3 linked regions of the Canis lupus familiaris genome follow. The protein of the gene in region 2 interacts with the protein of the main gene of each other region in a pairwise test. Links are inferred from orthologs where the notes say so. Each region holds a gene or a part of one and is shown on either strand. Other genes may lie near its edges.

What was found. The genes of interacting proteins can lie anywhere in the genome.
Region 1: the proteins of GOLGA2 (region 2) and SLU7 interact in binary tests that used the Homo sapiens proteins (3 or more experiments, as listed by UniProt). The two-hybrid records come from large-scale screens. The link is inferred for Canis lupus familiaris from reciprocal best matches to the Homo sapiens genes GOLGA2 and SLU7.
Region 3: the proteins of GOLGA2 (region 2) and STK26 interact in binary tests that used the Homo sapiens proteins (3 or more experiments, as listed by UniProt). The link is inferred for Canis lupus familiaris from reciprocal best matches to the Homo sapiens genes GOLGA2 and STK26.

The regions. Positions count from the first base shown.
Region 1 is NC_049225.1:51,199,663-51,205,362, forward strand, and holds the start of SLU7 (pre-mRNA-splicing factor SLU7), read left to right. Parts: upstream 1-2,366; 5' UTR 2,367-2,399; coding exon 2,400-2,524; intron 2,525-4,507; coding exon 4,508-4,693; intron 4,694-5,353; coding exon 5,354-5,507; intron 5,508-5,700. UniProt on the Homo sapiens protein: Required for pre-mRNA splicing as component of the spliceosome. Participates in the second catalytic step of pre-mRNA splicing, when the free hydroxyl group of exon I attacks the 3'-splice site to generate spliced mRNA and the excised lariat intron.
Region 2 is NC_049230.1:55,320,669-55,326,556, forward strand, and holds the start of GOLGA2 (golgin subfamily A member 2), read left to right. Parts: upstream 1-2,224; 5' UTR 2,225-2,335; coding exon 2,336-2,383; intron 2,384-3,902; coding exon 3,903-4,019; intron 4,020-5,153; coding exon 5,154-5,234; intron 5,235-5,888. Other genes in the region: DNA repair protein SWI5 homolog, read right to left, coding at 1,569-1,617, 1,878-2,092, 2,160-2,180. UniProt on the Homo sapiens protein: Peripheral membrane component of the cis-Golgi stack that acts as a membrane skeleton that maintains the structure of the Golgi apparatus, and as a vesicle thether that facilitates vesicle fusion to the Golgi membrane.
Region 3 is NC_049260.1:103,878,165-103,884,008, forward strand, and holds the start of STK26 (serine/threonine-protein kinase 26), read left to right. Parts: upstream 1-2,510; 5' UTR 2,511-2,674; intron 2,675-2,776; 5' UTR 2,777-2,885; coding exon 2,886-2,927; exon of another isoform or gene 2,928-3,092; intron 3,093-5,844. UniProt on the Homo sapiens protein: Serine/threonine-protein kinase that acts as a mediator of cell growth. Modulates apoptosis. In association with STK24 negatively regulates Golgi reorientation in polarized cell migration upon RHO activation.

The sequences.
Region 1 (5,700 bases), on a different chromosome or scaffold from region 2:
AAGAAAATATTCTAAGAAGGTAAAGAGGACAAAAAGCCATTCACACCCATATGGACCCTCCCTTGTTCTTTTTCTTTTATTCTCTTGCCTCTCCTTATTTTCTCCCTCTATCTACCTCTAAATGATTCAACTCCATATTGCATCATCAGCACACAAGTGTTCACTTTGGAACCGAATCTGTATAGCACCTACAGCTGGGAAGTGGGGATTCTCTATCTCCCAAGGTCTTTGAGTGCAAGATTTGTATCTCCCCCAGTTAAGTCTTCCCCTTACAACAGGAAGCACTGTGTTTCTCAAGGTCATGTAGAAACTGTAAAATGCTATAGCCACCCCCTCTTTTTTTTTTTTAAAGATTTTTATTTATTTATTTATTTATGAGAGACACAGAAAGAGAGGCAGAGACATAGGCAGAGGATCAAGCCCCGCATCAGACTTCCCCCGAGAGAAGCCTGCTTCTCCCTCTGCCTATGTCTCTGGGATCATGACCTGAGCCACTGAGCCACCCAGGTGCCCCAACTACCCCCTCTTTGAGTGATTCTTGTTTTCTCACCAATGATGCCCCAAACCCACTTTACTATTCCCTATTATTACTAGATTACCCAATTAGTAACCACCCTCACCTTATAATAGTACCTAGATCCTAATCAATCCCCGTTTATTCTAATCATGATTTACAAACAGCAACCCATCTAGAGAACTGAACACGTGCTTCCCTATACTTTTCTCCAAGTCCTCCAGGGGGAATCCAAACCTTACAAAGCCTTCTCCCTTCTCTTCTAGTACATTATATGATTCGTCTGGGAGATGTGTTCTCTGGCTTGTGCCTGGTGATTTTAAAACAGGCCTCAACAATTCCAAGCCAATTTCAGGAATTATTTAAAGAAGTAAAAACAAAGTGTAGGTGATCCAGAGACTACTCACTTTCAGGCTATTCTCTGACCCTTTCTATGACTTCACCTGTTGCCCTGTAAAATCAAAATTAATGTTTAAATTCCTAAACTCTTGGCACTGCAAATTTTTAATAAGAAAAAAATGGATTATGAGGGGGTTTTATGAAGCATGGGTGTGAGCTATTTTCACTTTTACTTTTTTTAAAGACTTTATTTCAGAGATAGAGAGTGAGCAAAGAGCAGAAATGGAGCAGTGAGGAAGAGGTAGGAGGGGGAGAAGCAGACTCTCCACAGAGCAGGGAGCCTGACATGGGCCTCAATCCATGAACTCCAGAATCATGAGCTGAGCTGAAAGTAGACACTTAACTGACTGAGCCACCCAAGCACCCCTCACTTTTACTTTTAAAAGCAATATATACTGGGGCGCCTGGGTGGCTCAGTCGGTTAAGCGACCCAGTCTTGACTTTCAACTCAGATCATTATCTCCGGGGCCTGGGATCTAGCCCAGAATTCAGCTGTGCACTAAGTGAGAAATCTGCTTTAGAATTCTCTCCCAGTCGCCTGCCTCTCCCCCTGCTCACTCTCTCTGTCTAAAAACAAGCAAATAAATCTAATACATGTTACCTTGAAAAATAAAAGACAACAGCACAAAGAAGAAAAAAACAGAAGAAATTCTACTACCAAAATTACTGCTTAGGGGTGGCTCAGTCCGTTAAGCGTCTGCCTTCAGCTCAGGTGATGATCCAGGAGTCCTGAGATGGAACCCCCGTCCCCTCATGCTCTTTCTCTCGTTCTACACTCTCTCAAGTAAATCAATAAAATCTTAAAAAAAAAAAAAAAAAAAAAGAAAGAAAGAAATAAGAAAGAACAAACTACTGCTTATTTTCCAGTAACTAATCTTACTTCATAGGTGTACTTTAAAAGGAGGGTTGGAATGTCATAGATACCAGTTTTCCCAAAATAGAAATTGTTTCATAGTATTTTTTTTTCTAATGACAAAACACAAGATCACTTCGGTACAGAATGTCACAACCACCAAATGGTGCCTTAGGTTTTCAGAGCATCTGGTATTCCTTTCACAGAGGCTTTTTACAACTGTACATTATTTGAAAATCATTTTAGTGCCTTTTTCACTTTGTATGTTGTGAATGCAAGGAAATACTCTTTTTGCTCACCACGTCCCTCAAAGTGTCACACACTGACCACTAATTAATACTAATTTTAACTGCCTTTCTTTTGTAATATGTCACGAACTTCCCCATTCATTTCTTAGTTCTGCAGAGAGGCGTAAGCTGTTGTCTATTCTCCGTACTTTTTTTTTTTTTTTAAGCCTCCTAAGAGTCTGCGATTCTAAAAGAATCAACAACACAAACCCGGAGAGCAGGAAAGCACCTGCTCAAACTAACCCCTTCCTCCAGCCCGAGGTAAATAAAGAAGCGCGCGAGATCTCGCGATAATAACATCGCGTGGGAGCCTGACCTGGTCCCCTACCGAAAGACGTTAGTGCGCATGTGTCGCTCGTCCGGAAACTACCGCAGTGGCTGCCGGGAGAGGGCGGAAAGCCAGGAAGTAAACATTGACGGATTGAGTTTGTTTCTGTCGGGAGGTTTTGGGTTCTGCTGTGACCGGATTGGGTAAGGAAATGTGGGAACTTGGGGATGGGGAGAAGGTGAAGCTGAAAAACTCTGGAAAACAGGCCGAAGGCCTCCTACTTCTTAGATACATTCCTACGAAAGTGATGAATTCCAGGTCGAGGGGGGAATGGGGATCCGGGACCGAGAAGAAAGCCGCGGTCCTAGGCCTCAGTGTGCTTGTGCCGAGCCAGACCAGGAACGTCTTAATGATTTTTAGAGTAAGAATTATCAGATATCATCGGAGTTTCATTTCCCAGCTGTTAGCTACTTGTGGCTCTTGAGCACTTGAAATATGGCTGTTCTGAATACGTGTAAAATCTGATCGGATTTTAAAGACTTTATTTTCTCTTATGTTGATTAAGTGTTAAAATAGGATGTTGGATATGTTGGATTAAATTAAAATATTTTTAAAAGTCATTTTACGTGCTTATTTTTACTATCTTAGTATGACTACTGGAACACTTAAAGTGATGTATGAGAATGGCATTATATTTATCTTGGACAGAGCCACATTGTAGGATTTTAAGCTTGTGTAAGTAGGTTATGATATGATTAAATTTGTGTTCTGAAAAAATAACACTGCGGTGTGGAGAACTGATTGGAGAGAATGGCAGGAGACCAATAAGAAAGGGAAAGTAATACCTTCCATTAAAGTGGTAGCATTGAGGATAGAGAGAAGTAGGTAAATATGAATGCTATTCAGAAGGTAAAAAAACAAAAATACTTAATGATGAAATAGTTATCGAGATTAGCTGGAACATATATGTAAAGGTATGAATAGTATTTTTCATTAAGAGAGGAAACAGTAATCAAGATGGCATTCCATGGAGAAGATCATGAGTTTAAATTAAAATTTGATGAGTTTACGTGTTTCTAAGACCCTCTAAAAGTAGATGCTATGAAGCGAGCTATTGGAATATATGTATGTGAAACTCAGATAAAAGGTCTGAAAAGGAGAAAATAAGCTGGAGAGCCAACAGTGGTATATTAAAGCCTTAGAAATAGATGCGCTGACTACTGATGAAGTCCAGAGTGATGAAAGAGACTCCAAGACTGAGCCTTGTGGAATCCAAAATTAACTAACTGGGCCGAAATAGATGAACTTGCAAAGAAGACAAGAGCAGCAGGAGAGATTAAAGAAAAAAACAGATTATAGTGTCACTTAAGCCAAGAGGTAAGAATGTTTCAAGAAGGGAAGGAACAGGGGCGCCTGGGTGGCTCAGTCATTTGAGCTTCTGACTCTTGATTTCAGCTTATGTTAGGATCTAGGGTCCTGGGATGGAACCCCAATGACTGTCCAGCTTCCAGGTCAGCAGGGAGTCTGCCTGTCTCCCTCCCCCTCTGCCCCTACCCCTGTTCCGTGCCCCCCACACACACATGCACTCTCTCACACAAATAAAGAAATATAATAAATTTTAAAGAAATAAATATTTTAAAAAGAGAGAGAAGGAAGAAAACTGAAAAATGTTTAGTGGATTTAGCACATTGATCATTGATGACTTTGTGGGGCCTCTTCAGAGAGAGAAGGAGTGGAAGCTAAATTGGAGTGACTGAGGAACGAAGTAGTTGGGAAAATAGAGTCTATGGATATAGATAACTCTTAAGGAATTACATCTTTGAGAAAAATAGGACATTGTTTACTTATGTAGGGTTAATGTGCTAGAAAAGTTTGAGTCATATATAGAGAAATTAAGGAATATTAATAAGATAAAGAGTCTTAGGAAACTTTAAGTACATGTATGTATGTTTCTCTTCATTTGTAAGTTAGATTTGAGGGAGGAACTGCGAACAGTATATAGAGATTTTTTGTGGAAGAGAAAGAGACCCTTCCCTCACAGATGCTATAAGAGCATATAAAATATTATATATAAATGAGACTGTAGTATGTGTTATGAGGTATGCAATTTGTGTACTTTTGATAGTTTCCCTGATAAACTCATGAAGGCCTACTTTATACTAATATATATTTCTTTCTTCTCATAGAGGTATCCAGATAACCATGTCAGCTGCAGCTGTAGATGCAGTTAATGCAGCCCCCCTGTCGGGGTCCAAAGAAATGAGTCTGGAGGAACCAAAGAAGATGACCAGAGAGGACTGGAGAAAGAAGAAGGAGCTAGAAGAACAGCGAAAACTGGGTAATGCTCCAGCAGAAGTTGATGAAGAAGGAAAGTAAGTACATTCATTTTTTGCATTATCTGTTCATTCAAAGTTCAAATTTATATCTACTTAGTTTAGCAATTTCTCATTTTTTAGTTTGACAGGAAACTATCTTTGCCATTTACATCCTTTTTGTTTTTATTATTTTATCAAATTCATATATGTAAGGTTTAATAATAAAAAAGTATTGAAGGACTTCTAATGAACAGCAGTCATCTCTTTCAGCTCTTCCCACTCCCTGTTCCACTCTGGAAAATGACTACTTTTAAATCTTTCTATTTTGAGTTTTTCTGGTTGATACCTTTACATCTCTAAATAATGTACCTACATCGTTATTGTAATCAACTCTAGGCATTATTGGCTAGCTTCTTGCTCTTTCATAAGATTTATCTACTCTTCTAACATTCATCTCTATCTTCCTTATATCTTTCCTCGCTTCAGTTCTGTCACTATTCTTAGTTGCTAAATTGGAAATTTTTTCATTCTAAAATAAATTACTTATTTTTAATTTTGTTGTTTTTACTATATTATATAGAGAGATCAGGCATATTTTCTCTCTCCCCTCCACTGCACTATCTCTCTTCTTAGAGTCTGTATAGGCTACCTTTGTAATTGTATTATCAACTATTTTCAAACTTTATTCTTAAAATATATATATTTTTTAAATTACAGAGACATCAACCCTCATATACCTCAGTATATTTCTTCAGTGCCATGGTATATTGATCCATCAAAAAGACCTACTTTAAAGCACCAGAGACCACAACCAGAGAAACAAAAGCAATACAGCTCATCTGGAGAATGGTACAAGAGGGGTGTAAAAGAGGTATTTGGGCAACTTTTATATATATCCTTGTGAAAATGGAGATTTTATTTGAATAACTTAATATAAAAGCCTTTAATAAAGTTATATCAGATTATAAAACATCTTTTACCTGGGATTAAAATTCACAATACATACTACTTTTGTTTCTGTGTTTTCTTTTATAAGTTTTATATTGCTAAAGTACTTAAACTTT
Region 2 (5,888 bases):
TTCCCTTGGAATTAGATGTAGCCCTCTAAGTTCTGGCAAGGGGAAGTTAATCTGAAATCATGTGTGTAACATCTGGGAGTCATTCTTCCAGGGAGAGGGCATGCTTTTCTCTGGCCTTCCTTCCTCCTTCCTGCTGGCTAGAATGTGGATGTAATGATAGAGCTGAACAGTATCTTGGGTGACAAGGTAGAATCGAAGCTGAAAGTGTGGTGAACCAAGATAGAGGCCTGGGTCCCGGAAGACTATTTAGGTCACCATTATTGGGGGCTTTCTTTCACTCCTGCCCAAGCCCAATCCTAACTAAAGGGCTCACTCTGGCCCCTAATCTGACCCTAGATAATCTACTAGGGTCATGTCTACTTCTCGGATTCTCTTCTCAAGTCTATGATGTCGCTGGGCTTATGATTTTATTGGATAACAAAACCATTCTCTAGGGCTGCAGTTCATCTGCCCTCTTTGTCTCTAGAAGCTACAAGGGCCAGGGCTTGGTACACTGGCTAATCTTTAGGAAATATGTGTTGGATCTGAAGAAGAGGCCAAGGAAGATATGGTTCCTATTCTTAGGGCAGGGTTTGTTAATCAGTGAGTTGACAGTGAATAAGCCCTATCTGCTAGACACTGGCAAAGGCTCCAGGAATTCAACGATGGACAAGACATCAAGCCTGGCCCCTGCCTTCTGGGAATGCATATAAAACACCCAGTAATTATGGTTTTCCTCCAGATATCTTCATTTAAAATTCTACTCACACTTCATCAGGAAGGCCCTCGCTGACCACTCCGTCTAAAATGGTCACTCCTCACTGGCTTACTATTCTTTTGTCCTGATATTTTAAAACATCTATCACCACCTGACATATACATTTCATTGATAATATGTTGTTGGCCTCATGCCACTGGAGTATGAACTCCATGAGGGCAGGGACTGTGTTTTGTTCACTGTGCCCCAACAGTGCCTGGCACACGGGAGGCACTCAATAAAAAGGTGTCCAGTGAATGAATGAATGACAAATAATTAATCAACTAACAACAAGTCTGAAAAGTGCTTTTTAGGTGAAGTACAGTGTGCTAAGGGAGTGTCTAATTGAGCAACTGGACCGAGTCAGAAGTGGGGGTGAGTGAGGCTCCTCTCGGGGATTCTCAACCCGGAAGGATGAGCAGGCATCACCTTGCTAAAAAGCTGCAAGGGAAGTATTCCAGAAGCGCACAGTATATTCAAATGGCAAAGGCACGAGAGCGCACGCGCGTCTGGGGGAATGAGAGTGGTTTTTGTGTGGGGTGGTGGGTGAGGGAGGAGATCAGGGTGCTCCCGGCAAGGAGGAGAGACAGAGCCTACTGGGGGAGCCTGGGGTACCACAGGCAAAGGCCAGGACACTGCTTCTCCTTTGAATCTTGGTGGGCAGGAGGAAAAGAAGGCAGAAGGACTGAGAAATGACCCGGAGTTCCTCAGCAGAACAAGATGTGCTGGGGGAAGACTTGAAGGGGGCTGGGGATGGAGAGGAGGGCTGGGAGCAGCACTGACTTCACACTGCGGAGGGAGAGAAAGGGGTGGGGGTCACAGGCATACTCACAGGGGATTGGAAGGCCCCGCGGCAACTTTGGGAAAGTCCTGGTTGAGTCCTGGAGAGGAATCCGAAGACAAAAGGCTGATTGAACCTAGAGTCAGTCCGCTCTGAGAGGAGAGGGTTACGTGGGGGTGTGGGAGGTAAGGAGTTGGGGAGGGGCAGATACGGTCCGAGATGAGGGCAGGGAGTGTGGGGGGCTAGATGGGGGTCTCTGGAAGTGATCTCTGGGACCAGAGTCTGAGGCCCGGCAATGGGGAGTCAGGAAAGGGACTGTGAAGGGATGCGCTTTCGCCCTGCTATCCGCTCCTCGCCCACCTCCGGAGCCCTGGGGTCCGGGGCCCCCGTCTCGGGGGAGTATGCAGTGCAGAAGGGTCCAGGGCGGGGCGGGAGAGCGGCCCCTCTGGCCCACCAGGTACTCGGAATCTTAGGACGGAGACGCCGACGGCTGGGTGGCTAAATGCGCGCGCAACCTGCAAAGCCAGGTCCCGCCCCCGCCCCGAAGTGGGCGGGGCCAGAGGCTGCGCGCGCAGCTTTCATTGTCACTCCACCCGCTCGCGGCAACCTGACCACGCCCATTCCCCCGTTCATCTTTCTCACCAGCCAATAGAATTGGAGCATTGAGGCCACGCCCACCAGCTGCTACCTAGAAACTCTAGGGTCCCTCCCTTTCTGGCTCAGTCGCACACCGGCGCGGTGACTGCCGGAAGTGATGCCGCGGTGGTTGCCGGGATCGCGGTGATGTGGCCACCCCCCTTACCCCTCCCCGTCCCGGGATGTCGGAAGAAACCCGACAGAGCAAATTGGCTGCGGCCAAGAAAAAGGTAAAACGTGCCGGGTCGCGGCTCCCTGACCCAGCCAAAGGCCCCTCGGACGGCCGGGCCGTGGCCAGAATCTTTGCTGCCCCTGAGGCACACGGGGCTAGCCCCGTGACGCCCCTTGGCGCCCCCCACCCCAAGTCGTCTCAGCCAGTCCCGCCCCCCGGCTGCCCAGCCCCCGCCCTCGCCCGCCGCCCCCGGTGACTTTGGGCTGGTGACTCCCCGGGCTCCCTGCTCCAGGTTTGGCCCTAGCCTTCTGCCACCCAGAAGCGGAGGACCTGGGCTCTCCAGGCCGGTCCCGGTGTCCAGGGACCTCGGTCCCAGCCCTGCTTTCCCCTCCCCCACCGCGGAGCGGCGACTCGGGCGTTGGTAGGGAGGAGGGGAATGTAGTTACGTCACAATCCCCCTCGGAACTGTCATTAGCGCCAGGAGCCCCGGTGTTTGGTCTTACTACCCAGTCTCCCAGTGTTTTCATACCCTTTCCGGTTTCTCCGGTCGCGGCGCAAATTTCCAGCTTGAAGGGGACTGGGGACTATGGGACCTAGGTGGGAGAGGTTTCAGGAGCCCTTACTCTAGACTGTACCCCATCCTTAAACATTGACTACACCAGTGATCATGGAACATTGATAACACCTTGGTGACAATGGGGAGAGTGTGTTTTCTTTGGTATGGTTTCCTTTTAGGTTTCTACTGTCCAGAAAGACTTTCACATATTAAATCTGAATTCTCTACCTCACATTTTAATTCCTTATGATTCTGGACCAGAGTCCCCCCCGCCTCCCCCCCATCAATCAGTGCTCTTTGGAGTGAGATCTGCTTATCCTCTGTGGAACTGATCTCTGGAACCTGAATTTCATAGGTGGGAATCTTCCCCAAATCATCATCTCAACATGGAGTGTTCTGAGGGCCACAGGATAATATAGAACTGAAGCATCAATTGTGCTTGATTCTTTTGAGAAAGAAAAATCCTTTTATAGTAATGTACTAGGGATGACATTTGTGTAGATTTGTAAGATTATGATAGACTTCTCTCTGAAATGGTGCTTGGATTGTCCTCTTTCTGTTAGGTTTCCACATTCACTAGGTGTGTGCCTTTACTGCCTTCTGCCATCAGGATACGTTGATATAAAAGTTTGATAAATACCAATGTGCAGCTTTAACAGATTTGTAGGAAAGGACTCTAAAGTCAGATTACTCAGATGTTATTTTTCCCACCTTTTCCACCTCCACCTCTGGTTTTGCCTTTTGGCACCTGCTGATTTCATGGCATAACCCCAGAACTCGGAGTCAGAAGACTAAGTTTAAATTCCATTATTGCCTAAGTTTAAATTCCATTATTGCCTTTTCTTTTCTTAGTCATGTTATCAGTCTATTTCTGCAGTCACTGAGAATTACAACACCTTGTAGGGCTGTTGGTGGCATTAAGTCAGATGGCGAGTATGGGAGTATATTGTAAACTACAAAGTTGGACATGAATACAGGGGTTTATAGTTCTCATGAGCCCCACTGATTTTCCTTTCTGTAGTTGAGGGAGTATCAGCAGAAGAACAGCCCTGGTGTAGGAGCAAAGAAGAAAAGGAAGATTAAAAATGGCAGTAGCCCTGAGACTACCACTTCCAATGATTGTCACTCTCCTGAGGATGTGAGTACTGGCTGGCCAGGTTCCTGGGGCCAGGGGTGTTTGAGGGGCAGTAGAGGGTGGTGGTTGATACTGTGGAGGAGATGTCAGGTACGGATTTGAATCCTACCTCTCCCTCTGCTGGGAATATGCCCCATCAATAAAGTTGGGGTAATAATGTCTTAACACTGGTGACACTGGAATGAGATGGTTGATTTTTTTTGTTTCTTTTAAGGGTTTATTTATTTGAGAGAGAGCAGGGGGAGGGGCAAAGGAAGAGGGAGAGAGAATCCTCAAGCAGACTCCCTGCTGAGCACGGAGCCTGATGTCTGGCTGGATCCCATGACTCTGAGATCATGACCTGAGCCGGAAGAACTCAGGAGTCGGACACTTAACCAACTAAGCTGTCCAGATGCCCCATTGATGTTGTTTTTATATTAATCCCTTAGGGCCTGGTGTGGGATAAGCATTCAGTCAAGGGTAGTCCTATTTGACATACTGACCTGGTGACTTTCCTCATCCCTGGCTTCAGGGGGGAAGCCAGGCAGTGAGAATAGCCATCTGCCATCACACTGTCCCTATAGGAAGCACCAAAAGAGACCCAGGGTGTAGCAAGGAGACCAAGCATTTGGGTTAGGTGACAGTGAATTTTGAGTCCATCTTTGCCACCAGTTTGCTGGGCGACCTCAGGAAAATCACTTCCTCCCCTGGGCCCAGTTTCCTCTTCTGTAAGATGATATTGTTGGAGCAGATCAGTGTCTTTCAGACTTCTAGCTGGAGCTCCCTTTGTTCAAGCGAACCCTCCATGGAAGTCTGGTTTTTAAAATGGAGTTGCAAGCCTGTCAGATTTGTCCCCAGCACCCGGGTCTGAGGAGAGGGTCTGATGAATGTATTAAAATAACACCTGCATTGGGCTGGTGATCGCGTTCTCGGTCTCGTTCAGGGGACTTTTCCATCTGGGTACATTGATTTCTGCCTCCAGCACGGCAGCAGGTGGCTGTTTGGGAAGGCAGCACAGGCCATGGATTTGTTGCCCTCTCTCTTCTCCAGCATTTCATCTTCCTGAACCCACTTCTTCCTTCCCTGACTCTCTCACCTCTCTCTAAGCCACTCTTCTCTCTCCCCTTGCCCTTGTTTCTCCCTTCTCGCCTCCTGTAGATTCAGGATATTCTGAAGGTGCTGGTGTCCGACCTTAACCGCTCCAATGGGGTAGCGCTCCCCCCATTGGACAAGTGGAAGGTGAGGCAGTGCCGAACCCCCTCTCTGGCTTGCTCTCTCCCAGCTGTGCATGCCCCAAGGCTTCTCTGGTTTGGGGGAATACTTTGCCTCTGGCTTATTTTATGTTGCTGTCATTAACCCTCAGCCTGTTCATGTCTGCTTTTTTTTTCACCTGCTTGGTTGATTGGGTTTTTTTCCTTCCCCCACATCTTTTATCATTTTGAAGAAGATGTGAGACACATCTTGAAGTTTAAAGGTAACTTGGGAAAGCTTCCAGAGCAGGTGTGTGGGATTTGGCTTTTTCTAGCCTTGGGTATGAATACCCAGTGGCGCGTCAGATTTGGATTAAATAAAAGCAAACCTTCACACTTGCCCTTTGGGCACCTGTCCCCCAAAAGATGAATAGACTGCATAGCAGTTTGTCCTTTTTTTGAATTGGATTAGTTCATTTTGGTTGGAGAGTAGGTAGTGTAGGGTTAAGACAAAGGGAGTGTATGTTATAGTTACAAGGACTGAGGTTATTTTTTCAGAGGAATTAACTGGAAAGCATGTGAAGTTAACCAAACATGAGTGACCAGGACATCCCGCCTGCCCCTATTCTCAAAAATCAGTTCAACACTGGGCTGTGTGTTCAATGGGTCCTTGCTAGGAGAGGCAGTTGGCTAGGTGCTCAAG
Region 3 (5,844 bases), on a different chromosome or scaffold from region 2:
CCAACATGCAAGAGGAGGAGTATCGAAGGAGGACTGGGAGCAATGAGGAAGGTTCATTGCGGCTGGGACTTGAGATTTCTAAATCCCTTGCTACTCAAAGTCTGAGAATCACCAGTATTGCCACCATCTGGGGAACTTAACAGTGCAAAATCTTGGGCCCATTCCAGACTTGCTAAATCAAACTCTGCACTTTAAAAAGAATCCTAGGGAACGTTTTTTTTTTTTTGTTGTTGTTGTTGTTAAGATTTTATTTAATTATTTATTTATTTATTTATTTATTTATTTATTTATTTGAGAGAGAGAGTGCACAAGCAAGGGGGAGGGGTGGAGGGAAGGGGAAAACACACTCCCTGCTGAACATGGAGCAGGATGACGGATGCAGGGGCTGGATCTCAGGACCCTGAGATTCTGACGTGAGCCGAAGGCAGATGCTTAACCAACTGAACCAGCTAGGTGTCCCAAGATTCCTAGGGAACTTCTAAGGGCATTAAAGTTTAGGTGGCACTGCAGGTTTCTGGCCAGGCTGGTATTATTAAGTGTCAGCTGCGCTGGTGGGAAATTGAGATTGGATTGGGACCTATCATCAGGTTAGAAGTTGTGAGGGCCTGGATATGGGAAGTAGGAGTAAGGAGATGCAATTATATCCTTTGTTATCTGAATGGATAATGAAATGTGATGGAATATTATTCAACCATGAAAAAGGAAATCCTGCCATTTGTGACCATGTGGATGGATGTTGAGGGCATTATTTTAAGGGAAAGCAGTCAGAGAGAGACTAAATACTGTATGATCTAAAAAATACCAAACTTATAGAAACAGAGAGTAGAACTGGTGGTTGCCAGGGCAAGTGAGGCGGGACATAGGTGAAGGTGGTCAAAGATCATAAACTTTCAGTTATAAGATGTGTAAGTTCTGGGGATGTAATGTATAACATAGTGACAATATTTAACAATACTATATTGTATAATTGACAGTTGCTAAGAGAGTAGATCTTAGGAGTTAGAGGGACTTGAGTTTGGATTCCCAGCTCTACCACTTCTTAATTGTGTGATATTTGGGTCAAATTGTTTAACCCCATAGAGCCTTTTTCATCACTTGTAAGATGGAGGGGTAATATGGGCGACTTCAGAGGGCCTTTGTAAAGAGTCAATCATGTAACGCATATCTAGCACTTTGCCGTCCCTGGCACAAAGAAAATGGCACCCATTAAGAATAATTATGTTTAGGGATCCCTGGGTAGCGCAGCGGTTTGGCGCCTGCCTTTGGCCCAGGGCGCGATCCTGGAGACCCGGGATCGAATCCCACATCGGGCTCCCGGTGCATGGAGCCTGCTTTTCCCTCTGTCTGTGTCTCTGCCTCTTTCTCTCTCTCTCTCTGTGACTATCATAAATAAATAAAATTTTTAAAAAAAGAATAATTATGTTTATAACACTAAAATGCTGTCTTTCGAGAAAGATTCAAAGGCAACAAAAGAAACAGAAGAAACTTTAATGAGTGTCTACTAGAGTCCCAACCTTGTGTTAGGTCCAGACCTATAACAATTTGCAATGTAAGGAACTTCATCCTCATCTTAAACTGGTACTTGGATATGACATTTTTAAATGTACTTAACCCCTGTTGGTCCCCCCAGGTGCCTTCATGATGAGATTTCTGTAATTGTTACTATTATCATTGTGACTTGTTATCTTTAGGGTATTCTCAAAAGGAACTGCCTCCCTGTTGGAGCAGAACTTAAGAGGGAACAAAGGTAGGGAATTGCTAAAACCACTATTGCGTATGCCGTATACCAAGTTCATTAAGGCGTACTACTAAAGATCTGGTCTCATTTTTTATGCCTCTATCATCCTCATTAATTTTTCTGCTGATGTAATATCTGTTTTCCAATTTCTCCCCCCCCCCTTCCACGTGCAAACTTGCGACGAGAAGCCCCAGTTTGGCAGCCCTCCAACCGACAACCCAAGAGGTAGGGGTAGCCTCAGGTTCAAGTCACCTGAAGTACGTCTGGGGGACGGTGAATCCAGAAAGCAGGCGAGCGGCTACGCGTCTGCCCAGAGGCTCGGCCCCAGCCTGGAGACCCAGACCCCGGGAATGAATAGAGGGTCCACCAACTCGGCGGCTCTCTGTGGCCGCACCCTTGACTAGATCGCGGAGCCGATAGGGATTTCCAACACTCCCCAAGTTTCAACTCAAGTGGTCTCTGAAGCTGCGTGTGCCCCAGCTTCGAACGTCTGTCCGCCTGTCGGCGACGTGGCCGCGTCGGGGACGCACTCTAACCCCCAGGGTCACCGAGACGCCTCCATTCCCTCCCCTGGCCGGGCCCAGTGCCGGGCCCCCCAGCCCGCGGCTTCTCCTCTCCGCGTGCGGAGGGAGTCCGCCCCCTCGCCGACCCAGCCGCACGCAGCCCAGCGCCGCGAGGGGCTCCGGCGCTCCTGACACCGCCCGGCGGCAGGGCGGAGGCAGGGCCAACGGCGGAACCGCCCCCAACCGCCTCCCGGGCCCAGCGGGCGGGCGGGTTGCTGGGGCGCCTCCACCTCCTCTTCCTAAAGCGGCGAGGCGCCGAGGAGCGGCATCACTCGAGCCCAGGTCCCGGCTACCGCCACACGGTGCGCCCAGCGTTCGGGAGGAGGAGCGGCGGCGGAGGCGGCGGCAACAGCGGCGGGCGGGCGCCAGAAAGGTAGACTGAGCCCCAGGCAGCTGCGCCGCCAACCGCCCAGAACCCCCAGCCCGGGGCGACGCGCCACCAGCTCAGTCACCCCACTTCTGTGTGTCCTTCCAGGCCCCGGTCGAAAAGCCTGGGAGGGCCGCCGAGCTACCCCCGGAGGAGGAGCCAGTCCGAGCCCAAGGCGCCACCGCCACAGGAGCAGTGCAGAGCAGTCTTCGCCTTCATGGCCCACTCACCGGTGGCTGTCCAAGTTCCCGGGATGCAGGTGAGGAAGCCCAGGCCGCCTCCGCCGACCACGTGACTGCCCCAGAGCCCGGTGCGCGGTCCCCGGTGACCAGAGGCGGCCCCGGGGCTCCCTTGAAGGCAGGGCCGGGCGCTGGGGCCAGGTGACCCGGGAGTCGGGCTCGAAGCGTTTTCCGGCGGCGTTTAGACCAGCTGGTGCATTGCGCGGGGAGGGGCGGGGAGGGACCCGGCGCGCGCCGAGGTGCGGGGGGGGGGGGCGCGGGCGGCGGGGGAGCATAAAAATAGGCCAGATCCAGACACCTGCGCCTGCGGAGCGTGGTCCGCCTGGGGACTGGAGGTGGAAGGTCTTAACTTGAGAGAGATGGAGGTGTCTCGAATTTGTGGGGTAAAAAGCAAGTCGTGCGCCACCCCCCGCACACACACAAGTTGGGGTGGAGCAAGACAAGGGGGTGTCGGTGGCGGCGGTGTTGAATTGGGCTCTTCCTGTGTGCGTAGTGCGAAGAGCGAGGTGGCTTCTCTTCGGTGTTGCTTCTTAAGGGCGAAGTTCTATCTCGCTCCCCCACCTGGCCCATCCCATAGTGTGGCTTGAGAAATGCTGCGTCCTTCGTCTGAATGGCTGAGGTGATGACTCCCCAGCCCCCTCCCCCTGCCTTTCCCATAAGACAACTGTTCATGTGGTTAAAGGAAGCTTTTTGTCCTGGACAAGGGACTACTGCTTAAGACCCATCTTCTATCTTGAGATTTACCCAGCCCCCGCCCCCCATTACATTTTCATTTTATTCAGGAAGAAAGAAGCGATGTTCCTACACTTTTTACGCGGTTACGTATTTAAAGTGGTGCATTTCAAGCTATCTACTAAATGTTATCCAGGTCTACTAACATTTAAGCGTTCACTTTTTTCCTTTCCTAGATAGCCTAAACAACCCATTTATGAGCAGATGAAAGACTAGAAACACTAAAGACTCACTCAGTCCCTCATTAGCTTCTAAAAATGTAAAGCAGATTTTTTTCAAGTTCAGAAAAAAACGTTTAGAGTTGTAAATAGCTTATGTTTCTAGTAAAACGCTGTGGATTGGGGCCTCAATATACTAATTGATGCATGGAATTCATCCTTTTTTTTTTTTTTTTTACCGACTGGTCATGTTTTATGCATGGTCACAAAAAGTAATTTTAAAAATACTTTCCCACAAAAGGACCATTTGTGTGGGACATATATCAATCCTAGGACTCCTGTGTGTACTAAGCACCAGGCCTAAGCACCAGGCCTTTTAGCTGAATATAGGGCAAGTCTGTGTTGAGTCCCAGGAAGTCGGTTTGTATTTAATAAAAAGGAGAAAGAAAGAAAAAGGGAAATGAGAAATATTCGGGCTTTTTAAAAGATTAATCCATTCAGCCTTTACAAAATGCCTCAAACTTTTTTCTCAGACCAACCCCTTCCCTCCCTCACTCATTCCCCCATCCACCCAGCCCCACAACCCATTCATTCAGTCTGCCTTTGATTGTGTAGCAAGAGATTAGTAGTTTGCAGTACTAACTCCGATTTTGCTCTGTCTGATGTGGAAGAAGTGCGAAATACTTCTCACCGTGCTCTTCTTTCCATTCTGCGGGGAGTAGAACGGTACAGATGGAAAGTTTGTCCCTGAGGGTCTCCATGCTTCTGTCTCCATTGTGTGCGCCTGCGTCAGCAGAGAGCGTGCCTCCTGTTCATCAAGTTTGTGACTCTGGGGAACTCTGTGTGCTGGGAAGAAAATGGTTTCTGGTCTTTATTTCATTTGTCTTTATTTGATTTATAGGGTTTAGGACCCCCTTGCCATTCAGTGTTTCTTATTGCTCCCTGCTTTAATTATTGGAGTTCCCTATCTCTTGAATTTTAAAATCTTCATTAAGGTGGTTTAGTATGTGAATCACATCTTAATTTACAACTTCTGCCTCTTACTGTATGCCTTCCCAAAATTGTGGTTACTTAGTCCCACATAATTTGGGGAGGACAGTCCTCTCCATATTAGCAAAGAAGAGAGGGATACTTGTCACTTTCTCCATCTTAATGAAATGATAAATTCTTAACTGTTTATTTCCATTTTATTTGTAGGTGTGATTCTTAAGCATTTGATGCATCACAAAAGCTTTCCACAGTAAAAATTGCACAGTACCTTAAAAATAAATTTGATACATGCAGTGTGACTCTTGAGACTAGACTACTTTTACTATTCTTTTGTTCAAAAATATTGCAAATGAGATGCAGAAATATATGCACTTGTAAAATTCTCAACTTTTGTTCAAGAGTTAGGAGCAACTTTTAAACCGAGAGTAGTAAGAAAACTCAAGTTAGCCATGTGTTCTTGAAATTAATGTATAGTATTTCCACAAATCAGGGTGAAGTGGTTGACTGGCCTATAACTTTTTAACAGTTTATTTTAGAGAATTATGAAGATTGATGGAAAAAATGATTTTTCCAGAAATAAAAACAAAATTACTTTATCCACAGTGTTTTTCTCCCCCTGAGGAGAGACATGAAGTAGAAGTCGAGCTACCTGTTCTATCACTTAAGACTTCAAGCATTCCTGACTTTCGAACAAAGAAATTTCTGTTGCCACTAGTTTAAAATAGAAAAGAAACTTGGAGTGACGAAAGAAAACCCAGGATTTGGTCCAGTTCAAACTCTTCCTTATGAATTAGTTATTCCAACTCGTGTTGATATTTCTTAATATTGTGGTAATAAACATTTTTTGCACTAGTACATCAAATGTTGAGGGTATGAATTTGTTTTGTACTTTGTGTTTACTTTGTTAGTGTATACCTAAAGGAATTTTCCACACAAGTAGCTACACTCTTGAAAAATATTTAAAGCACAACTTAAAAAAAATAAACCAATAAACCTGTTTCTTTCTACTCAAATATTTACACTTTAATGATTTAAAACATACTGTTTTCTTTGAAGT